Linked DNA regions of Arabidopsis thaliana. The protein of the gene in region 2 interacts with the protein of the main gene of each other region in a pairwise test. Each region holds a gene or a part of one and is shown on either strand. Other genes may lie near its edges.

The links. Proteins that work in one complex are often made in the same cells at the same time.
Region 1: the proteins of CAT6 (region 2) and AT2G18480 interact in a protein complementation assay, tested with the Arabidopsis thaliana proteins (one large-scale study listed by BioGRID).
Region 3: the proteins of CAT6 (region 2) and AT1G66760 interact in a protein complementation assay, tested with the Arabidopsis thaliana proteins (one large-scale study listed by BioGRID).

What each region holds. Positions count from the first base shown.
Region 1 is NC_003071.7:8,007,278-8,014,105, forward strand, and holds AT2G18480 (Major facilitator superfamily protein), read right to left. Parts: upstream 4,001-6,828; 5' UTR 3,967-4,000; coding exon 3,852-3,966; intron 3,717-3,851; coding exon 2,305-3,716; 3' UTR 1,824-2,304; downstream 1-1,823. Other genes in the region: PERK4 (roline-rich extensin-like receptor kinase 4), read right to left, coding at 1-490. UniProt on the Arabidopsis thaliana protein: Plasma membrane sugar-proton symporter.
Region 2 is NC_003076.8:1,375,856-1,384,437, reverse strand, and holds CAT6 (cationic amino acid transporter 6), read right to left. Parts: upstream 5,818-8,582; 5' UTR 5,321-5,817; coding exon 4,918-5,320; exon of another isoform or gene 4,802-4,917; coding exon 4,233-4,801; intron 4,121-4,232; coding exon 3,889-4,120; intron 3,168-3,888; coding exon of another isoform or gene 3,136-3,167; exon of another isoform or gene 2,682-3,135; coding exon 2,134-2,681; 3' UTR 1,960-2,133; downstream 1-1,959. UniProt on the Arabidopsis thaliana protein: Permease involved in the transport of the cationic neutral or acidic amino acids.
Region 3 is NC_003070.9:24,899,085-24,906,266, reverse strand, and holds AT1G66760 (MATE efflux family protein), read right to left. Parts: upstream 4,386-7,182; 5' UTR 4,158-4,385; coding exon 3,909-4,157; exon of another isoform or gene 3,831-3,908; coding exon 3,286-3,830; intron 3,090-3,285; coding exon 3,003-3,089; intron 2,917-3,002; coding exon 2,860-2,916; intron 2,767-2,859; coding exon 2,528-2,766; coding exon of another isoform or gene 2,523-2,527; exon of another isoform or gene 2,437-2,522; coding exon 2,231-2,436; coding exon of another isoform or gene 2,213-2,230; exon of another isoform or gene 2,120-2,212; coding exon 2,054-2,119; 3' UTR 1,824-2,053; downstream 1-1,823.

The DNA of each region.
Region 1 (6,828 bases), on a different chromosome or scaffold from region 2:
TCAAAAGTCCAGCTCCGACTAATACACCAACTATGATCGCTGTATTCGTATTACTTCTTCCACCTCCACCTCCTCCACTGCTTCCTCCGCTAGAAGGAGGGTTGTCTGAGCGAGAGCCTCCAGTGTCTCCTGGTGGCGATGATCTGCTACCACCATTATCTCCATTACTCCTAGAAGGAGGAGAAGGAGGAGAGCCGCGTGACGGTGGAGTATCATTGCCACCATTGTTTCCTCCATTTCCTCTTTCTCCTCCACCGCCCTGTGACGGAGGGGAAGGAGAGTTATTAGAGGAATTAGGAGGGTTAGGAGCTTGTGGAGCTGGTGGAGATGTGGAATCAGGAGGTGGCGATGATGATGAGTCTCCTTGAGGAGGTGTAGGAGAAGGAGGAGACGGAGCCGGCGGAGAAGAGGTGGTTGAATTGGTATTAGACGGTGGAGATGGAGAAGAGGTGGAGTTTGTTGGAGGAGCAGATTCAGGAGAAGAAGCCATCGGAGATCAAAATTTTCCGGTAACGAAAATAAAAACTCTCCGTCTCCTCTCTCCCTTAACCACTCAATTATTCTGAGAACAACAACAACAACACGTAGAAAAAACAGATCATAATCAAAATGGTGTTAACGTTGGAACAAGTTCTTGTCTTATTATGTTCGTTAGATCGTTAACAAAACAGGTAATGCTAAATATAAGAGATTAATACAAAATTAGTTAAGAGATTAGCATGAAAGTGTGTACCTTAGAGGAAGAGATTAAGGGGAGAGAGTTTTTGAACATTTGATCAGAAAATGATAATAGGAATAAGGTGAAAAAGGAAGATTGAGATTTGCTCTGTCTTCATTCCGAGAAACATGCCTCTTCTCTCTCTTTCTGTCTTAATAACAGTTTTGTGTTAGTTACTAATTGTAATAATCTCCGGTCTAATTTTTCTCTTTTTGGCTCCGTGATATTAGGAGCTAACGATTGTTGATTCATTTCCACGTAACCTCATGCATTATTACCTTAATTTGTCAGGAAAATCTCTGGTTTATTTTGGTCCGTCAAATCAAATCATTGCTCCTCAGGTCTTCCCATATGTGATATGTCTCCTTTTTCTTCAATATTGCTCTAGAGCAACATAATTTTTCTCACAATTAAAGGACTTCAATTGGGAACAAATGTCAAGGTTTTTTATTATTTAGACCTTTGAGCATGATCAAACTAATTTCTTCACGCACAAGTTCATCGATTTCTTTACGAATCTCAGGGTTCTCACCCCTCAAATATCAACTATGACTCTACTTCAGTATTGGTAATCCTCTCCTTTCCATCAATTAAACTAAGACTTAAAAACCATGAAGTGATCAATATGTTTTGTTTAAGCACTTTCTGATCTCTGGAAACATTAATATGCATACTCTAGAGTCTAGAATTAGATGTGTAGTTAAAAATCGAACAATTCTTGGTTCACCTTTTCATTCACCTCTTTCAGCCAATTAGAATATGTCACCTAATAAATAAATAAACTCATTTAATTATAAAATCTATAATCTTAACCACTATTTCATAAACTCAAACCGATATATAATTTTGTTTAATTACAAAATTTAAACTCTAATTCTATTTTGTAAATCCAAACCGACATTTAAACTCGATTAATTGTAAAATCTAAACTTAAATCGTTCTTTCTAAAACTCAAACCGACATTTAACCTCATCTAATTGTAAAATCCAAACCCGTTTATAACTCTAAACCGACATTTAACCTCGTTTGATTCTAAAATCTAAAATCGTTTATAAACCTAAACTGGTATTTAACTTCGTTTAATCATAAAATTTAAACTTTAACCCTCTCTTATAAATCCAAACCGATATATGATTTTGTTTTGGTGAACTATTAGATTTTATAATTAAATAATTGTTATTGTTTTTTATTAGGTTGTAGATTCTCATTAGCTACAGTAAAAAGGGATGAATATAAAAATCATACTTTGTCCTTTACAAAAAATCACACCTTATAATAGATATGCCAAATCATGTTGGATTTAAAAATTATTCTACATAGCCATGATAATCTAACCTAATTATTGACTCTCTAAGGGCATCTCCATCCATGAGAAACCCACAAAGTTTCTCAAACAAAAAAAAATTAATATTATATTATAATTTGAATTTTTGATTAAAAAAATATTTTTGTTAAAAAGTTGAACCAATAGTGAGAAGCGAATTGTCATGATGGGTTGTAGAGAGTATCTCAAAGTTTCTGAGAATCTTTCTACACTCTCTCTCCTTCATTTTTATTATTTTTATTTTTTTAATTGTGAGAAACTCTTATGAGAAACCCCCAATAGAGATGGTTTTAGTTTGAATCTCAAGTCCGTCACGATCACCACGAGGACCCCCACCACCAAAAAGCTTCTCCATCTCCTCCAATGGCAATCCTTTCGTCTCCGGCAACATAAAGAAGAAGAACCACCATGCCGCCACCGCTATTCCGGCGAATACGAAGAACACGCCCCCTGTCGTGATCGCCTTCGTCATCGACAGAAAACTCATTGAGACCGTCGCGTTCATGATCCTATTAACCGCAACACCTATACTCGCTCCCTGAGCCCTAAGTCTCAACGGGAATATCTCGGAGCTGTACACCCATGTGATAGGTCCAAGCCCTATGGAGAAAAAAGCTACAAATGCATACGTAGAGACGATGCTTAAACTCAATGCCCACGCTAACCGCCCAAATCGCTGAACCATCGTGAGACTAACCGCTAAACTGGTCAATGCGAAGACCATCCCACCCGTACTGGTCAACAGGAGCTTTCTACGACCTACCTTGTCGAGCAAGAAAGTGGCTATTATTATGAAAAAGGCCTTAGTTAAACCTACACCGACCGTGGCTAGTAAGAGCTTGTCTTTCGAAACAACTCCGGCTTTCTTGAAAATTCTCGGGCTGTACAACACGACGGCCTCAATCCCCGTCGCATGCTCGAAAAAGTGTATCCCAACGGCCGCTATCAAGATCAAACGCACCGCAGGTCGCGGTTTTATCACCAACTCCCTCCAAACACTTTTACCGTGATTCTTCTTCTTAACGCCGCCACCAACTTCTTTTATCTCTGTCACATCTACTTCCGCAGCGGTTAAGATGTCTCTGAACCGTTCTTCAGCTTCTTCTTCCGTATTGGATACCAAAACCATTATTTTCTTGGCTTCTTCTAACCTACCTTGCATCACAAGCCACCTCGGCGACTCGGGCATTCTTGTAATCCCAAAAGCCAATATCAAAGACGGGAACGCTGCGATTCCAAGCATCAATCTCCATCCAAGTTTCAACGTCAGTTTCCCAAAACAGTAATTCGAGACATAGCCTAGTAAAATCCCAAGACTAATACAAAGCTCAGGTAGAGAAGTGAGAAAGCCTCTATGTGACGCAGAGGATATCTCGGCAGAGTAAACCGGAGCTATCATGAGAGCAAACCCTACACCAACTCCGGCAATACATCGTCCGACCATCAAAACAGGATAGTTTGGGCCGTAACCCATAAGAACTGAGCCCACTAAGAATATCACGGCGGAGAGAGCTATGGTGTAACGTCGGCCGATGACGTCAGACGTTTTCCCCGCCGTTAGTGATCCGACGAGTGCACAAAGATTCAAGATTCCGGCCAAAACTTCAATCTGAGTGTCGTTTATTTTTAGATCATCTCTTATAAATATCTGAGCTCCGCTCATAACTCCCGTATCTAAGGACAACACACCATTACAAAAAAAAAAATATTCGTTAATATAAAATCATTAATATAATTCCATTGAATATATCTTTATATGATATATGTAGAAAACTTTTGTTTGATATGTAGAGAATGTTAGTATGTTACCATATCCAAAGATGATAGAAATGATGGAAGCAACAATGGCACACCCGAAAGCGAACTTGTTCATATGAGGGTTTGGATCCGAACCGGGAAAATTATGACCATCAGCATGAACCATGTTGAGTCTTTTTCTTCTCTTTTTTTTTTTTTGGGTTAAATTTTAGAATAACTTGTTATATCGATTGTGTGCATTTACTAGTATATATATACACATAACTATATATGTCCACCACTTGCATCCATAGTGGAACAATGACGATCAAAAACTTCTACTGTTGTTCCACAGTGTTTGTGGGTGCCCACGTATTCTGGTACGAGAATTATATTTCTGCAAGATATGAATTTTCCTCAAGATTTAGACGTATACAACCTGAGAAGTATATCGAGCAAAATAAATTGAAAAGATTTCCAACAAAAAAAAAAAGTAGTGTAATCAGGCAAGTGTTTTAAGTTTTAACCAATACATACGTAAGTTAAAATAATAATTAAAAGGTTACAATGAGTTTAAAAAATGGTTTCGCACACGGTCTTCAAATAATTTGTGACGACCTTCGTTGAACTTGAACTTGGTCTTCTTGTTTTCAATTTTTATTATTTTTTAATAAAGGAAGTGAAGATTTTTATTAGATGCTATGTTACATGTAAACCCGATTATTGTAGTTTTGCAATTGCATGTTACGTATAAAGTTGTTCTCGTGAGTGGAATGCATGAAAAATTGTATGTCGTAAACTATTTATGAAACTCTAAAGCAAAAAGTTTCCGTTGTGAAGTCATATGTATGAGAATTCAGAATTGATCATTCATTATAGTAACATATGCTAGAAGAAGTTATATCCACCATTTTTAAATGGTAGGTCATCAATTTTAATACGATATGACCAAAAATATTGCTAATATTGTAAGTTAAAAGTCGCCATCTTCTTCACTTTCGGCATTTTCCTGATCTATGTTCAATAGTGGCGTAACCTTTAAAGATTCTTTTCCACATTTATATAATTTGGTGAACTAAATTTATACGGTGCATTTATTTTCAGTTGGTTTCTTTTTCTTATTGAAGTGATGAAGTCCAAAATTAAACTTGTTTTGACGAAACAAAAAAACTTGTATCCAACAAAAAGCCGTTGTTCTCAACAGACGAATAATACTATCAGACTATATGTATCATTACATAATGAAATTGATATCTGTTGGGAAAAAACTGATGTGTGATTTGATCAATAAATCAGAACATCATAAGTCATAACGTAACCTATAGCTCTGTTTGTATGTGCAAGATAAACAAAAATGTTTTTGGGTTCCAACTAATGTTCATTTTAGCATGATCGATGGAAAATTCTGAAATTGCCAATTCTATCATTTATATTTTTGTCATATGCTTTGTCAGTTTGGCTGGCCTAGAGTTTTACGTCCAATTAGTCTGTTGAGAACTGTATTTTTGTTTTTCTTACTCGTACGTTGTTGGAATTCTGAAACAAGATGTTATTACGCCTCCAGTATTAAATCAATATTTTACCCCGCTAATTATAACATTATATATCTTGGTGGACTACGTCCAATTTATGTTTAGTCTTTTTTACATTCGCTACTAATAAATTGGTATCATAACTTCGAATTTTCAACATGCTTTTGTAATCTGGTAAGCATACATTTGTAAAATTGTAATGAACATAAGAAGCAATATTGGTGTATTAGAGAGACAATAACTTATTTCAAACTTCTAGTTTTTCTAAATAATTCTTAGTGTATACGTTTTATAGATCTCTAAATCTGTTAGAAGTAAAGGTTTACACATTTAATGGATATACGATATATATATTATTAAAAAAGAAGAAGTAAATCTGGATAATCATCTAGCTAGTATCTATATATATAGTTGGCAAAAACGCTAACCTTTGGGATTTGTATACGTAAATTATGCAAATGCACAAAATCCATGTAAATAGTAAAGTTTTGATATGATTCCTTGAAAGTTATATTTTGGTGAGCTGAAAAAGAAAGATACGTGACGAAAAAGTAGTATTTGATTTGTTTTCTTGAAGAGCATATACCATAATGAGTAACTTACTCAAACAAGTAAATGGCATGCGTTTTTTTCTTTTCACTTTTAATTGAAAAGGCATATATTGTCGCTATCAAAAATCAAAACCAAACGAAATTTATACTATGAGGTTAAATGAATTTGTTGGGTAAGAAAATGATATACCTTCAACGCACGGATTACCTATCTTTAATCCAAAAAGCTTTGGTTTAAAGGCAGATAATCGATAGACTAGCTACGTCAGATCAGAATTTAAGTCCTCGAACCAACATTCTTCATGCTGAGTTTTTTTTAGTACGAACCTTAACATGCATTGTAGTCCAAAGCTGATTGGCATACACATCGTGTGACAAAATAACCAAGACAGATCAATCATTTAGGTCAACGATAGAAGGAGAAATCTTCTGGAAGAAGAGAAAGAGAAATTCAAAGTGAAATTGTGTGTATTAGTTGGGATACATTTGGCCGACACAACCAGAAAGATAAGTTTGGGGACTTTCCGATACAAGTGATAACTTGGGTAGGTTAGATCATCATATGGGTAGGTCTTATTACTTTATTCAAAAGTTTCACCAAAAAAACACGTAGTTCTTTTTTTTTTCCATCTAAAACTTTATTAGTTCTTTATTTGAACAATGTCAACACATTAGGATTTTTTCAAAATTCATAAATAATAAATAATGAAAGTAGCCCTTATTTTGTCAAAATTATCGTAATTTCTAATTGAATTTTTTTAGAAATGGTTTTGATAAAAAAAAAACTTTTTTACTAAAATTGAAGAACCCAACGAATCACTGATATGCATGTGTTAGTACAAATGCACATGAAGTGATGATATTTTGAGTTTTTGTTTCCAACATCACGAGAACTGATGATCAAGTTCGTGATTAGATGGAAAACAATTTGTAAGTTTTTTTTTTTGTTTTTCCGAAAGATTTTCA
Region 2 (8,582 bases):
ATTTGGAAATTTGGCGGGAATGGTTAATGCCATATTAACAGATGATTATATATTTTTAACTTGTTTTTTTCTATCTTATATTTGTTAAATTGTAAAGTCATAAATGTTGTTTGTTCAAAATATAATAATCTATTACAATTGGTGAAAGAAAGCAGATAAATAAGATTTGCGATTCCGTATTTGTATGATTAAGAATGTTGAAATATGAGTAAGACCAACTTGACGACAAGATTTTAACATCATGGAATAGAATGTCTAAGTTTAACTTTTTATTTAACTTTATTTGGATAATTAAAATGTGGAGGGTGTTGCAAGTTGCCAAAAACTTCGCTGTTTGGTGAGAATCAAAGTCTTATCCTTCTTCCTATCTTTCCTCTTATGATTTCTTTTTTGGAAAACACTATTTTATACATAAAGATCTTTTTTTCTTTAAGCGAATGTCAAAGCTCATGAGAAGTCGGAAAAAAATTTCGTGATAAAAATGTCAACAAAAAAGTGAAATAATTGATTAGACCTATATAGCTATGGATTAATGGGCTCACTCTATCTTCTACACAACTTGCCTTAGATTTTGCTTTGAATGGTTTATAAGAGGTTGACATTTTCGTGGTCCCGTGTTCTATATAATTTATTTAATCAAGGATTAAGCTCTAGTTTTCTTCATTTACTCTAGTGCATTTCAGAAATTGATAGCCGATAATTATAATGCAATAATAATGATCCTAAATCCAAGATATTTTGTTAGTTTAGACAGGTTGTACCAAAAAAAAAAAAAAATGAAGAAAATAGGTTCTTTCATGGCCGTTGTTAAACAAAATACATGTTGTCTTTTTGTAAACCTCAAAAGTCAAAATTTTGGTAGTTAATCCAATGTAGAATCCAATATTAAGGTTTGTAATTAGGATAAAGGAAAGTTTTAAAAAGAAGCACTGATCACGCTTAGAGTTGAACCCTTTTACAGAGGGAACTCATTACTTTGAGTAAAGTGGGGTTTCTAGAAAGACATCAAATCTTTGTATTGCCAATAGAATCACATCTTCTTATTGGCAGAATATTTCTTATAAACAAATCCATAAATAATGTAAAAATAAAGCTTCCAACAATGTGACGATCTTGAAAATATTGGGCTTTTCTTTGGACCCCATCCTTACGAATATAGTTACCAAAAAGAGAGAGAATACAAGCAAGTGTCGTCTCCCACTTAAACACAGTTCATTTAGATTCGAGATTTATATCATCCACTTCAAAATATATAAAAATGTAATTATGTATGTTATCCTAACTAAATTACTCACATAATTATTGCCTATTGGTAGTGTTCACTAAAAGAATAATTGGACTGATTATACTAATTGAGATCACATATTCGATCCTACCTTAGACATTCATCTTTATGAAATCAATAAGATAAACTAAATCATACTTGATAAGAAATAAAAGTAGAAAAATGAAGACATCTTTAATAAACTGAAACTTTTTGTGCATGGTTCTTTGTTTACGAAAGTTCAATAGTACTATTGATATATAGAATATATAAATGCAAATAATAAAAGAATGTATAAATATCCTCAAGGAATTTGAAACAAGTGATTGTGAACAAAAAAATGAAAAAGAAAAGGTGATCTTGTTGGATATATATGAAGTTGCGGATAATGTCACGTATGTGTGTCCCGTGAGAAAGATGGGGACCCATCGTTTTCAATTGTACGCCATCTCGTATTTATGAGAGACCTATGTCTATCTAACGTTTCCATTTATTAATGTTATCTATCACATGTATATTTCATACGTGATCTTGCCTTATAGGTTTGACAAAGATTTGATCTTTCAATCTCAAAAACTTGTAACCTAATAGTTTGTACTGTATTTAAAAATATTGTGTGTTGTGAATTGTACACAACGGTAAAACAAAAATATCATCAGTTTCTCTATTCTCTCAACAGATTGACTTGCATATGACCGATTTCATTTTGGTCGTTCGTTAAACCAAAATACATATTCTTTTTTTTCCTAAAGTTGTATTTAATATTTTCTCATTAATATTTCAAACCCCCTCATGTAGAAAAAAAATTAGAGAGTTTAATTACATTTTGGTTCATGATGCTTTAGAAAACTAAACTAAATAAATACTTTTCACACTTCAATTAGCTCTTTCATGACTTGTCCATCTTTCACACCAAAAGATCCATTCGCTTCAGCATCAGAACTCGCATGAACGCCATAAAACAAATACACGAGCACGATCAAACCGGAGAAGAATCCAAACCGGACGTAAGAGGGTGCGTCCAACGAACCAAGCAAAAAAATGTTCAAGAATATCGACACGCACGGGGTCCACGGCATGAACGGGACTCCCCACAACTCAGGTTTCCTAGCCTGGGGAACCACGCACTGAAAGCTCAGCACGATGGCTATAGCCACCACCGCACTGGCACCGAGCATGAAAGCTTTAGGCTTACCTTCCGGCACAAGTTTCCAGATGAGGGTGAAGACGAGAGAGGTTATGGAGAATAGTGTGAGGAAGCAGAGTGTGGGCCACGGCTTGGTGGGTCCAACCGGGACGTAACGTCTGAAGATGAGAGCGTTTGCGACCATGTAGAAGACAAATAGTGTTCCAATGGATACGAGGTTTAGGAGGACGTTTAGGTCGGTGAAAAGCGCAAGAGCCGCCGTGAAAATGCCTGATAAGGGATAAAATATACGAACGTTAATAAGATTGGTCAATGGTCATATTCTCTATAACTGTAGATGATTCGACTAGTGAAAAAAGTCCAAATTTGAAATGAATGGTAGTGGGAGGATTTGTTCCTTTATTTTGTCTTTTTGTCAATGCTATTGATGGATATAGCAAATGTGAGTTAGTGGGTGCTAAAATTAGCAAGGATAAGGTTGAACGATGATGACCCCCTTTATAATGATCCATTTTGTGACAAAGGCATGAGAGTAACTTAATGAGGAAAACAATGCTTGTTACAAAGATTATGCATATAAATATGGCTCTAAACGTTAGTATATGTTTTCCAATCTTCTATGTATTTTATCAAAGATGGTCATTATTCTAAATCCTGGTACCTAACAACTCACGAGTTGCATAGCTCAGCCAGATGTTCCGGAAATTACGAAAAGTTGGAGTTGTCAAAATATCAGCCGACTAGGCTTAGTAGTATCTTCACAAAAAAAATGAAATAAAAAAATGATTGATTAACTACTAGTCGTCCAATGGATGACTAATAATCCAACTATCGTATTTTTATTTAAAAAAAAGTGGAATATGTATTTTTAACACTAAGGAGACACAAAAAGAACCAAAGAGACCCACCAAATCCATCACAATCAAGACCGTTGAAAAGATTGAATCTTTGAACAATCAAAAAACACGAAACTTTTCACAGAGCAGAAAAGAAAACCAGTGGTGAACAACGACATCTAGCAATCGGACTCAGATGCTCTCTCTGTGACTCTTGTCTTAAACACCATACAATGATACAAATCACATTGAACCATGTCCCTACATTGAGATATACTTACACAACGTACATAGCCCTTGTCACGATCGAAATCGATAGCAGAAGATTTTTAAAATGGTAACGTCCAAAAGCTTTTGATCTTTAAAATATATTGAAATGGACACGTATATATAATGAAATCACGTGGATCGTATGATTTAGAGAAAACGTTAAAAGTTCAAATCAATAAAAAGATCATGGAAACAACCGAAACGGTTCTCATTGGGGTCCCCTTTTAACCTAACTACTACTCCTCTATCTCACTTTCTGGACCAAAATTTATTTTTAACTATATATGATTTGATTATATTTCATCATTGTTTGTTTGACAGTAATTAAATAAATGTTTTTTTGATGAATGAATGAAGACAAAGAAACGTACCAAGAAAAGTGGAGGCGTTGACTGGCGTAGATGTTTTGGGATGAATCTTAGCGAACCAAAAGGGGACCACTCTGGACCGTCCGATGACACACATGTAGCGAGCCTGACCTAACATTGCCACCAAAAGTGATGTTAATATCCCAAAGCTTGCTCCTATCCCCACCACTTTCGTCACCCATTCCCAGCCGTTCGATCCTCTGAACGCCGCGGAAAACGGCGCCTCCGGATCTATCTGCGTTACAACAACACATGCCCCGCCGTTTTCAGCTTTAGACTCAGACTACGTGCCGTCTTTATGAAAACGGAAATATACAATAAGAAAATAATAAATTTGAAGTACGGACCAGATCGTATGGCAGAAGCATTGACATAGAGACTGCCATGAGACAGTAAAGAACGGTGACGATTGCGACGGAGCCGGAAACACCGACGGGGATATCTTTGACCGGATTTTCAACTTCTTCCGCCATGGTTGAAACGGCGTCGTATCCTATGTAGCTTAAGTAAACCATGGCAGCTCCGTTGAAAACTCCCGCCGCGCCGAACGGAAAAAATCCCGAGGGGTGCTCTGGATTCGCCGGTGAGGATAGATTCTTTGAATCTCCTTTTATGAATCCCATCACGATCACGAAGAATATGAATGCGATGTGAAATGCAGTCATTATCATGTTCACTTTGGAACTCTCTCTTGTACTGCAACAGATGATGACTGTGATTACGAGGACGACGAGAACTGCGACTGGATCAATCTCGTTGAATCCTTTCGGTAAACCGGAGACGACGAATCGCCACTTGGAAGTTGAGATCCCGAAAGCTGTTCCTAAATAAGCGGTGAAGCTTCTCGAAACGGCCGCGTTTGACATTACGTAATCCATTACAAGATTTGCTCCGGTGAAAAATGCTGGAAATTCACCTGAACGGAAATGTAACAGAAAAGAAATCAGTTACGGTTTTTGATTTTGAAATTAAAATTTTCAGAAAACCGTGAACAGATCGGAGGAGTAGTGATGATTTTCGCGGGAGACTAACCGAATGTGATACGGATGTAGCTGAAGGCACCGCCGGCGACCGGGAGATGGACGGCGAATTCGGTGTAACAGAAAGCGGAGAGGAGAGCGCAGAGCCCGGCGATGGCGTAAGAGACGACAATTGAAGGACCGGCGTCGAGACGACTAGCACGGCCGGTGGTGACAAAGACACCGGCGCCGACCATTCCCCCGATTCCGAGTCCAATGAGATCGTACCACCGGAGAGTACGGCGCATCTGTTCGCCGGAGACGGCGCGGACGCGACTCATCTCGTCGGAAGAGGTGGAGACGGAAATAGCGCGGCGGGATAAGCGAGAAGGCGTCGCGGAAAGAGAGTTGAGGTAGACGCGGAGACTGGAGAAAGAAGAGTGACCACCATTGTTGCTGCTGCTTTGGACCTCCATTTTCTCACCGGCCAGATTCGGGTCGGGTCGGTTTGTGTGAGAATTTTGTTGAATTTGACAAGAGTTGGTTTTATATTAGAGATTAGGAAAAGTGAAAAAGAGAAGGATAGGGACAAAGATGTAATTATGACGATACTTAAGGGCATTTAAATGTTATAAGTATTGTTATTAACAACAAGATTGTTCCCTAATTCTTATATTCACATTAATCACATAAGCATCATCAGCTCAAAAGCTTACTAAACCCAAGATGCTTTATCTCTTTGGTCCAATTACAGTTACATTTATATATACTAATTATGCTAACGCTTTTATTGATTCATATACAAATCATAAACTAGTTTGGTAGTATATAGTATGTATTCACATCTAGCTAAGCTTGTAAACTATTTTTGTTGACCATAAACCACTAAAATTGGTATTTTATTAAATATCATTAGACTGCTGAGTTGTAACAGAGTGGCATTTCCTATGGTTATCTTATTTTGTTTTGTTTTTTAAAAAATAGGAAAAAAATGAATTACGGTTTTTATTGAAGAATATTCTTTTTTTTTTACTACTTATCATTAATTGTTAATAACACTCTTTATTGTTTAAATTTATAGATTTGTACTCAATTATTTATATTTAAAAAAAATATCTCAACACTATAACACCATATAAACATTCTAATAAGATATGTTTTTAAACAACATTATTAGTATATTTCAAAATGGTCAAAATATTTCGAACCTGAGAAATGAACTTTTTAATCATAAATATGTCATTGGAGAATCATTCCCACATTTTTCCTTGAAATGAGGGTCTAAAATTGATGTTATTATAGACAAAATTTTGTAATTGCGTTCCTTGTAATTGATAGGGAATTAGTACTAATTAATGAAATTAATACCATAATTGTGTCTATGACTATGATCGGTTGTTTGAAACGTAACGACTCTCTGCTTCAAAAGCTCTTCCTTACTTAGTTCCCGAGGTTATGAAACCGTCACGGACGTTAAAAAGAAAAAACTAAACAAACGGCGTTAACTTCCGTATATCATAAGACACGGTAACGACGTTACCTCTAACGGCTATGTGTGGTTTAAGATTCACACGTGTGGCAAAGAAGGTGACACGTGGGATGTTGTTTTGTTTTCAATGGATAAGCACACAGGTTTAAAGCGAAGCGTGACCAGAATTTGAGGAAATGAGTTTTTGTAATTAGTTGGTTCTTTTCGACAATCTTCTCATTTTTTATAGTTGGCAACTTGGCATTACTAGGAAAATATTATCGCATATTTGCAGCTAATTAAGGTCTTCTTCAACTGATTTTGTCTCTGCATTTAAATGTTTTAAAACGAGGACACGAATAGTTTGGTACTTAGAGGAATAAATAACCGCAAATCTTGTGTTGGTACAGTTTGTAACTTAGTAATTTGTTTTAGTGTTAGTGCCGTGTTATTTGATAGTATGTGTGAGTGGTAATATGCATGAGTGAGTTCTTGAAAAAAAAGATGAGTGATCTGTTCTCTGTGATAAGGGCAACGCAACATGTTTGCAGGTTGTATCATGATCCTGATGAGTATTCTCCATAGAGAAATCGGCATTAGACTCGACGCTTTAAGATGAAGAAGAAGCAATGGATTGACTGATTTTATTTTCATGGGTCGAACTCGGAGCCTTTGATGCTGTTCACTGAAATCCAAAATCCAAAATCACCAACACCACCAACTAACCGCATGTGTATATGTAATCCAAAATCAACACTATTTTTACCACACCAAAACTCACTATAAGGTTAATTCGAATAGAACTCATCTAACCATCTATGAAACTTGATTAAAAAGTGTTGTAGAATGATTTGTGTATGTTTATGTAAAAGTTCTATCGCTCCCAATCATACCCGTAACTGGATACACGTTGCAATTGATCTTTTTATTTTTTGGTTGGCCGCGCACTGCATTGAATTAACACTACCTTATCCAAACAAATAGTATTAAATATCTACTTCAATCGAACACTCTTAAGCCTCTCTTTGTTCACAATAATGATAATTAGATTAGTGTCAGCAACGTTGACACATATTCGTATCTACAACACACATACGCATACATTTATATATAAATTAATTTCGACAAGAATAAATTATGACTTGTATGGTCACCAATAAGTCTCACATTTTTGGGTACACAAAAGAGTAATAATGAAATAAATAAAAAAGATAATGTGGAGTGGTTTATACAGTGAGTGGGATGGTCAAATCTGAATTTTAGATAAGATGCAAAATTCAGGTTGCCTCAATCCGACCACGTCTCACACGCCCTGTGCCAGACCTGCCCATCTCTGTTTTCCCTATAGTATTTTTTTCTAATTGAAAAATACAAAAATTCCATTCTCCATATATTTGAAGTTATATAAAATCCGTGGCAAAATATGTGATTTGACTTTTGAGTGCCAATCCGATATGTGAGCCGTTTTGTAAACACAATTTTTGGTTTCAGTAAAAGCAAGATATTAGGATCTGATTTCATATATAAATTTTTGAAGATACCTTATTATATCACCCAAAAAAAAAGCTGTGTATTCAAGAAAGTGTAGTATTTTAAAAATAAATATGTAAAATGTTCATGAGTGAGACTCCCTACTAGTTTAAGATTGTCAAATTCACCTAGTTAAAGTTGGATCACTTATTTATCCATAAATAGATAACTTAAGAGATTGTCAAATTCTATTTAAAGAGTCTATCTAAAAGGCCCATTCTCTTTTTTACATAAACCAAAACCGCTCATTAACTATTTTGATCAGTCCAGTCCAATAGTTTGTGTTTTCCTTGTTTTTGGGCTACTAGCCCATACACATTTCCAAAAAAAAAAAAAAAACTTTTTTTTCCCCCTATTTTACTACATTTTTGTTAATTTAATGTTTGATTCAAAATTTACCTCACCAATTTATCCCCTCTTCTAATTTCCTTTCTATGTATTTTTTTCAATTCAGAAATTTCATACCTTCTTTTTATCATCCAATAATCGCCCCATATTTTTCATACTCACAGTTATTTTTTTTGATTTTTCTGTATTTATTTTCCCATATTTTTGAAGATAATATCAAAACTTGAAACATATGGTAGCAGATAAAAAGCTTAAAATAGCAAGAGCTTAGTAGATTTTATTTGGAAATTGGAAAGCCAGGTGACGATTAAACAAGAGGCCACGTCATGTAGATGCACCAGTCCGATGCCAAAAAGTATCCTCGCAAAACAATTGGCAGAAGACACGTGGCT
Region 3 (7,182 bases), on a different chromosome or scaffold from region 2:
TTCAAGAGTGAAAATTGAGAAAAAGTCGTTGATGTTTCTTGAACAAATTCACTAAAAATGCAACTAATGTTAACCCATAGTTTGTACTTATTCTTCAATTAATCAATGAGTCATTTATCCAAAATTTATCAACAAGAATTCTCTCCCTAGACTTGATTGCCTGAAAAGTTTCCCAAATAAATAGAAACAAATATTAACTCGATTTCCCTAGAACCGAGTAAAGGATTAGAAACAGATACAAACTTGGTTTGATCAGCTCTTTGGTCCAAATATTTTGGTGAATTTCATAACAAGAATTAGGATTAGGGCTTGTAGTGTTGAACATGAGACTAAATCAGCCCATAGCCCATTCCCATTAAAGTGTAAGTGGAAAGATGAAAAAAACAAAAGTAGTCCAATAGGGAATACCACTGAAATAATAAGAAGTTTTGTTCACATAAGCTCCAATTTTCTCACACTACCTAAACACAATGAGGCATATTGTTCATGGCCAAGAAAATTAAAAACATGGCTCCTAAACCGGAGAGGATGGTTAAGAAAGGCTACCGGAGAGTGCAGTCAAGAAGCTCTCCATAAGGATTGAGAAGTTAAATATAAAAAGTTCAGATTGAGAGAAGCAAATACAAAATGAATCTAAGTAAAGAAAATTTAGTCCCAAGCCCATCTAATGACCCAACCTAACCCACCCGTCCAAGCATCAAGAGAATTAGCTCCTTCCCCTACTTACACAAATATGGTGACACAAGGCCACAAGCCTTTTGAAAAAAGAAAAAGCAAAAAAAAAATAAAGAAGGCCACAAGCCTTGGACATGAAACCTTCACCTTATATACTAGCAGATTTTTTTCTCCAACTTCCAATATGTACAAAAACCACTTTATCCATTTTGTGTATTTCATATACCCAACTTTGGATATCCATTTCTCACTCAGAAACAAACCTCAAATTTTACGTTTGAGTATACACTACAATCTACAAACTACAAAGATAGTGCTTGTAGATTAGATGAATCCAACGTTCTCAATGTAGTTTCGAGTGACAAATTTGCCGAAAATTAGTTTTCGGAAAAATGTCCAACGTAACATCCCAAAATTTAAGTTTCAATACCAAGTTGGGTTTATTGCTAGTTTTAGAATGAGGTTCAATTGAAATATAATTGAAAACCCCTCCTCTTGAGCAGGCGTATCAGGAATCCAACATTAAAAGTGTGATGTAACCGAGAACGTAATATAAAAATGATATGGGTCAATCTATTTATTGTTAGGAGTTCCATGACAAGACTCTTACGTTCATGAAATCAATATCTTGATGCAAAACTGAACTTGAACATGGACTGAAGCGAGGCTAGATTCATTTAACAAGACTCTCACGTTCGTGAAACCAATTTACTGGTGCAAAACTGGACTTGAACATGGACTGATGCGCGGCTGGATTCATTTGACAAGACTCTTACGTCCATGAAACCAATATACTATATTGGTGCAAAACTGGACTTGAACATGGACTTCTGCGAGGCTGGATTCACCTCATTGTATAACTGATTTTGCAAGTCCATACATTTTTGTTTCTTGGATTGATGTTGATTTAATTTAACTTTTTGTTAATCTTCAATATTATGTATGACGTGTCGTTGCTTCCACGTGTTTTCTGCCATAACAATTACCTACTCACCTTGACTCTTATGAGCATCTCTTGTCGGAGAAAGTATTCAAATTTGCTTTTTGACTTCTTTAATTCTTTGAGTATATCCTTTCAAGATACTCTCTCTTTGGTTCATTATTTGTTTTTTGGCCACGTAAAGTTGTATTATAGACTTTATAGTATAGAAGTTTTAAGCTTGAACCAATCAACTTTGGTCACTCTTTAATTCATCTATTATATACCAGATCATTTTTTAACTGAGATATATTTTCAAACTTTCTTACACTCTAATATCATATGAAAGACTATAATGTACTTTCAATATAAATTACAATCAACTGAAGGTTATTGCACAAACACACACAAAAAAAGAAGCAATCAAAATCCCCCAAAAGTTTGTATTTCTTTTTTTCTTCAATTAAGCAATGAGTCATGTCTCCAAACTTTCTCATCACCAATTCTCTCCCTAGCCTTAATTGCCTGCAAAATTTCATTGAAGAAAAAATGTGTAAACAAATATTAGCTCGATTTCTCGAAAAATCGAATGATGGATTAGAAACAGAAAAAAGCGAGTTACGCGGTTACAATCACCTCTTTGCTCCAATTGGTAAATCCAATAACAAGAAATAGGATTAGAGTTTGTAATGTTGATCCTGTGACTAAACCAGCCCAAAGTCCTTTCCCATTGAAGTGAAGATGAAAACACAATAGAAGTCCAACAGGAATACCAATGACATAATAAGAGGTTATGTTCACATAAGCTCCAATTTTTTGCCACCCTGTTCCTCTCACAATCCCTAAACAAAACAAAACATATATTCGGTTCACGTTCACAAAAAAATAATAACATGGTTGCAAAACCGGAGATGCGTGTTAAGAAAGGCTAACCGGAGAGGACGGTCAAGAAGCTGTCCATGAGGATTGAGATACAAAGAATAGGAGTGATATCAGTCACATAACTAATTACTTCCTCCACATTGCTATATGCATAAGGCCACACACTGCGAGACAAGAACAGACTAGAGCTCACAATAACTGACTCAACAGCTGCAATTATGATTGCAGCCGCAGCAGAATCACGAGCCCCTCGCGGATTCCCAGCTCCTAGCTCATTAGCCACATTGGTGCTAACCAACGAAACAAAAAAAAATGAAACATTAATTCTTCGAAAATAAAATGAAGTGAAAATTCGATGTAAGAGTATTAAAGTAAGAACAAACCTTGCTGCATCACCAATTCCATTTACTAGATTGTAATGCAATGAAGAGGTCGTGAGGCTGCTCAATCCCAAAAATTAAGGCTTAGAAAATGAAAGAAAATATAAGTATCACAGATTATATAGTTTTGCGGTTCGATACATTACCAAATCGAAATAACCGATGTTTCGAGCTTTGAGTTGGGTAGAAGACCAGACAGCAAAGTAATGACCTCGAAAGCTAACCACTCAAGGCTATTGAAGGAAGCAAGAGCAATAAGAAAATAAGTGTCAATAGAATATTAGTGAAGGGAAAAAAAATCCATTACACATTTATTTATGTAACCTAAGATTTTAAATCTTTCACCTATCCACAAAACAATGACCACCACTAGACTACCATCACTTGGTTAATTCTATATGGATTTTTAATAAAGTTGTACATACTTACCAACACATCATTGCAGAAGGAATGGCAAATTGAAAGAAGATATTTGTATGAACAAAAACATCCTTGGACATATAAATCCGCGTTTCGACACAACGACTAGAGCGTTTCATATAAACCCAAAGAAAAACCGCGTTGAGCCAGTAAGAGATACCGATAGACGCAGCCGCTCCTTTGGCTCCAAAATCAAATTTATGAACCATTAGCCAACAGAGAGGAACATGGAAAGACAGAGCAGCTAGAGAGCTCAAGACCATTGGATAAATCAAGCTTTGTGACTGAAAATATCGAACCAACGACTCGAGAACAGAGTAACCGAATAAAGCTGGTACCAGCCAGAGACAGTACACACCAGCTAACTCTGCTATTTGAGGATCTTGATGAAGCAACAGCAAGATCTGGTTCATGAACATCCAAAGAATCGAAATCGGAACAGAGATAATCAAAAGGAAAACTATTGAAGTGAAAGTGTAAGATCCAAGCTTGTGATATTGTTTTGCTCCATATGCTTGACCACATAGTGTTTCCAATGAACCTGAAAGTCCAAACTATATAGTATACAACAATAATTAGAAACAAATTAATCCAATACATATATATATATAAAGGTTCATATACTTGCTTACAAGAACACCAAAGCCGGTAACATTAGCAAAGGAGCTTCCTAGAGCGATTCCGGCGAGAGCGAGTTCGCTCCGGTGACCGACGATCATTGTAGAAGTTGCTTGAAGAAGGTATTGAGACATGTTCACGGCGACCATTGGAGCAGCCATTGAAGCAACTTTCTTCATCTTCTCCCATCTTATTTTTTCTTTATCTTCGTCTTGTGATTGTTTGGTGTTCAACAATAACGGAGTTTCGATACTCTTCTTCATTTTTTTTTTCTTTCTGGTTAGAGAAAATGTTGGAAGTTGTGTCGTATTTATTTAGCTTTATGATTTTGATATAATAAAATTTGTATTTTGATAAATAATATATGCGACGTCGCGACTCGAAGAAAAGAAAATAAACACGTTTCCGCTTCCGCGTATAAAAGCGAAATCGTTTTCGACTTTTATCATCTCACTCATTTAAGTCAAAAGATAGAATTCAGCACGTGTAAGAAGAAGATGCATCCTAACTAGTAACTAATAATTGGTTCCTATTTGTAGTTTGTACTTAAAAGATTTTAGTTGTGGAGTCTTTTTTTTTTTTTATGCCAGAGAAATTAATTAGACAACATAAAGTTTGTTTTGGTTGTATAGCCTTAAAAAGAAAAGTAAAACATGAATGGTTCAGTTTTAAGGCTTTGTGAGTTGTTGAAACTTTTTAGAACCTTTTACCAATCAAATACATTTGTGGTTAAAACTTAAAAATCATGTCGGTTCTTGAAAAAGGCAAGAGTGGTATTAACAATATTTTTGATTAGCATGAGATAGAACTGGAACACAGAACAATATAATACCTTAAGAGTATCAAACAGATATGAAAACTGAATTAGAATCGGTGTTTCCTCTTCAAGCCTTTACTAGTTGCTTCGCTTTGTGTTTCTTATCGTGTTATCTCTTGTATTCGTAGTTCCTTTAGTCGTAGTCTTTCTCCCTTTTTTTTTTTTTTTTTTTTTTTTTGCTTCTATTGTTTACTCTGTATTCTGTCTCAAACTTGAAAACGGTATAAATACTTAACATCGATACCAAAAAAAAAAAAAAAACTGAATTAGAAGATTTTTAAATGTATAGAACCACATACTGATCATCAGTTATTATTTAATTAGTCATAAAATGAGATATACATTTCTAAAGAATAAGGAATAAAAGTCTCTCTTCGTATTGATTGCATTGGCTCAAATCGATAAACATCGGTCCATGATCAATATTTTTAATATCATATCATTTATTTAAGTATTGAACCTAAGATGGCTTTCAGTGGTTACCATCTTACAATAGATTTTTTTTGTCAGCGTTAAACCACTTATGAGAAAAAAAATGTATAATATATGTAGTAATAGCTAGTTTTCAAAAGAACAACAAGATAAATTGTTATTTTGTCAATAGATGATATATGAAAAAGACTACTCATGACAGCGTGATTTATGTAAATTGTGTAACATAACTATAGATTAATTTAATATTTTATAATTATTTATATTATATGATATTTTTATGAATGGTTGAATTTTTTTAAAAATGGATATTTCTTAATCTGCATATTTAACTAAAACCTCTTATATTTTGAAACATAAAGAATACTCCTAGACTAGACATGCTGAGGCCTGAGAGGACAAATGAAACTAAACACATGTTTCAATACTGACCGACAGAAAGAAAAAAATAAATAAATGAAAAGAATAATAATAAAACACATGTTTCAACTTTAAATACATATCTCGATGAACCTAACCTAATCCACATCTCCATGTTAATTCATTGACAAAAACTCCAATCCATGATAATACTCCAATAACATAAAGTTTTAGTTTTCAAAATCATTGTTAAAAAGTACTATCGACTTTATATACTCCACAACATAAATTTGAAATTAGTCAGACTAAACCGCCAAAGTTAAGATTTTGTTTGTGTTTCTAAACAAACAAATTTTGCTCTACTTGATATCAATAATAAATCCGTCTCTTAATGACATTTTTTTTTACTATTTCGTTAACAAAATAGATGTAACTTAACTACTGATTACTAGTATTATTTTTGATTCAATATATCATACATACTTTTTACGTTTTAGTATAAATGTCATTTACAGGTTCTTCACATATAGTAAAAAAACAATTAGATTTTTTTGTCTATCGCTTATTAATATATTATACAATTTTTTATAATTGGTCAATACATTAAAATTGAATATTTACCAAATATCTACACTAAAAATAATAACAATACTTATTTTGAAATAAAATTTTAACACTAAAACGACACTTATTGTGAAAAGAAAGAAATGTATAACTTATAAAGTTAAAAGTTATAACCGAGAATATATGTATTCACAATGTCATTTACAGGTTCTTCACATATAGTAAAAACATTTTTTTTGTTTATCTCTTATTAATATATTATACAACTTTTTTTTATTGGTCAATACATTAAAATAGTAAGAATAGAATTGCAATTTCACCAAATACTGTAACTACATTCAAAATATAAAACAATACCTATTTTGATACAAACTTGTAAGAATTAAACCACACTTATTGTGAAACTAAATAAAAGTATAACTTATAAAGTTAAAAGTTATAACCGAGAATATGTATTCACAATCCGTGATATCCAATTGAGAGTAGTCCAGTCAAGAACTGCATTATACACACTGAAAAAGAGGAAGCCATTTTCTTACTTATCCTCGTCGAAGTTATCAAAAATAAATAAAGAAACAGAAGTTGTTGAGAAAAGTATTAATAATCGGTTCTGACTTCTGACATCGTGTGTTGGAAGAAATAATTAATACTTACACAGAGCATTTTGATAGTTTCAACTTTCTTTTTTACTTATGTTAAACTAACTCTAATCACATGTATTATGTATACAAATTCATATTTACGTTCACTTGGTTTAAAAAAGCACTCCACATACTTCATGCATCTTGATAATCCAACTATCTCTTTGTTTTTTTCCTTTGACATGGAATAACTTTATCAATCTAATCGATGAAAGAGATCCGATTGGTGAAGTTGAGATCTATCGCAAAAGAGTTGTTTCCGCGAAGAATAGTGAAGTCGATGATGGCATACCTCTCGGCCACACTATAAGCAACCTTTGAACAGTAGTTACTAGAGATTTGGTGATTGCATGCTTCAAATCAAATTAAAGGTGTTGTCAAAACTTTCTAACTACTCGAAGTTTCATAGGTAACGTTGTATTATTGCGGTACACCATGTTATCTCATGGGTAATTGCTTAGTGAGACTCTTAAA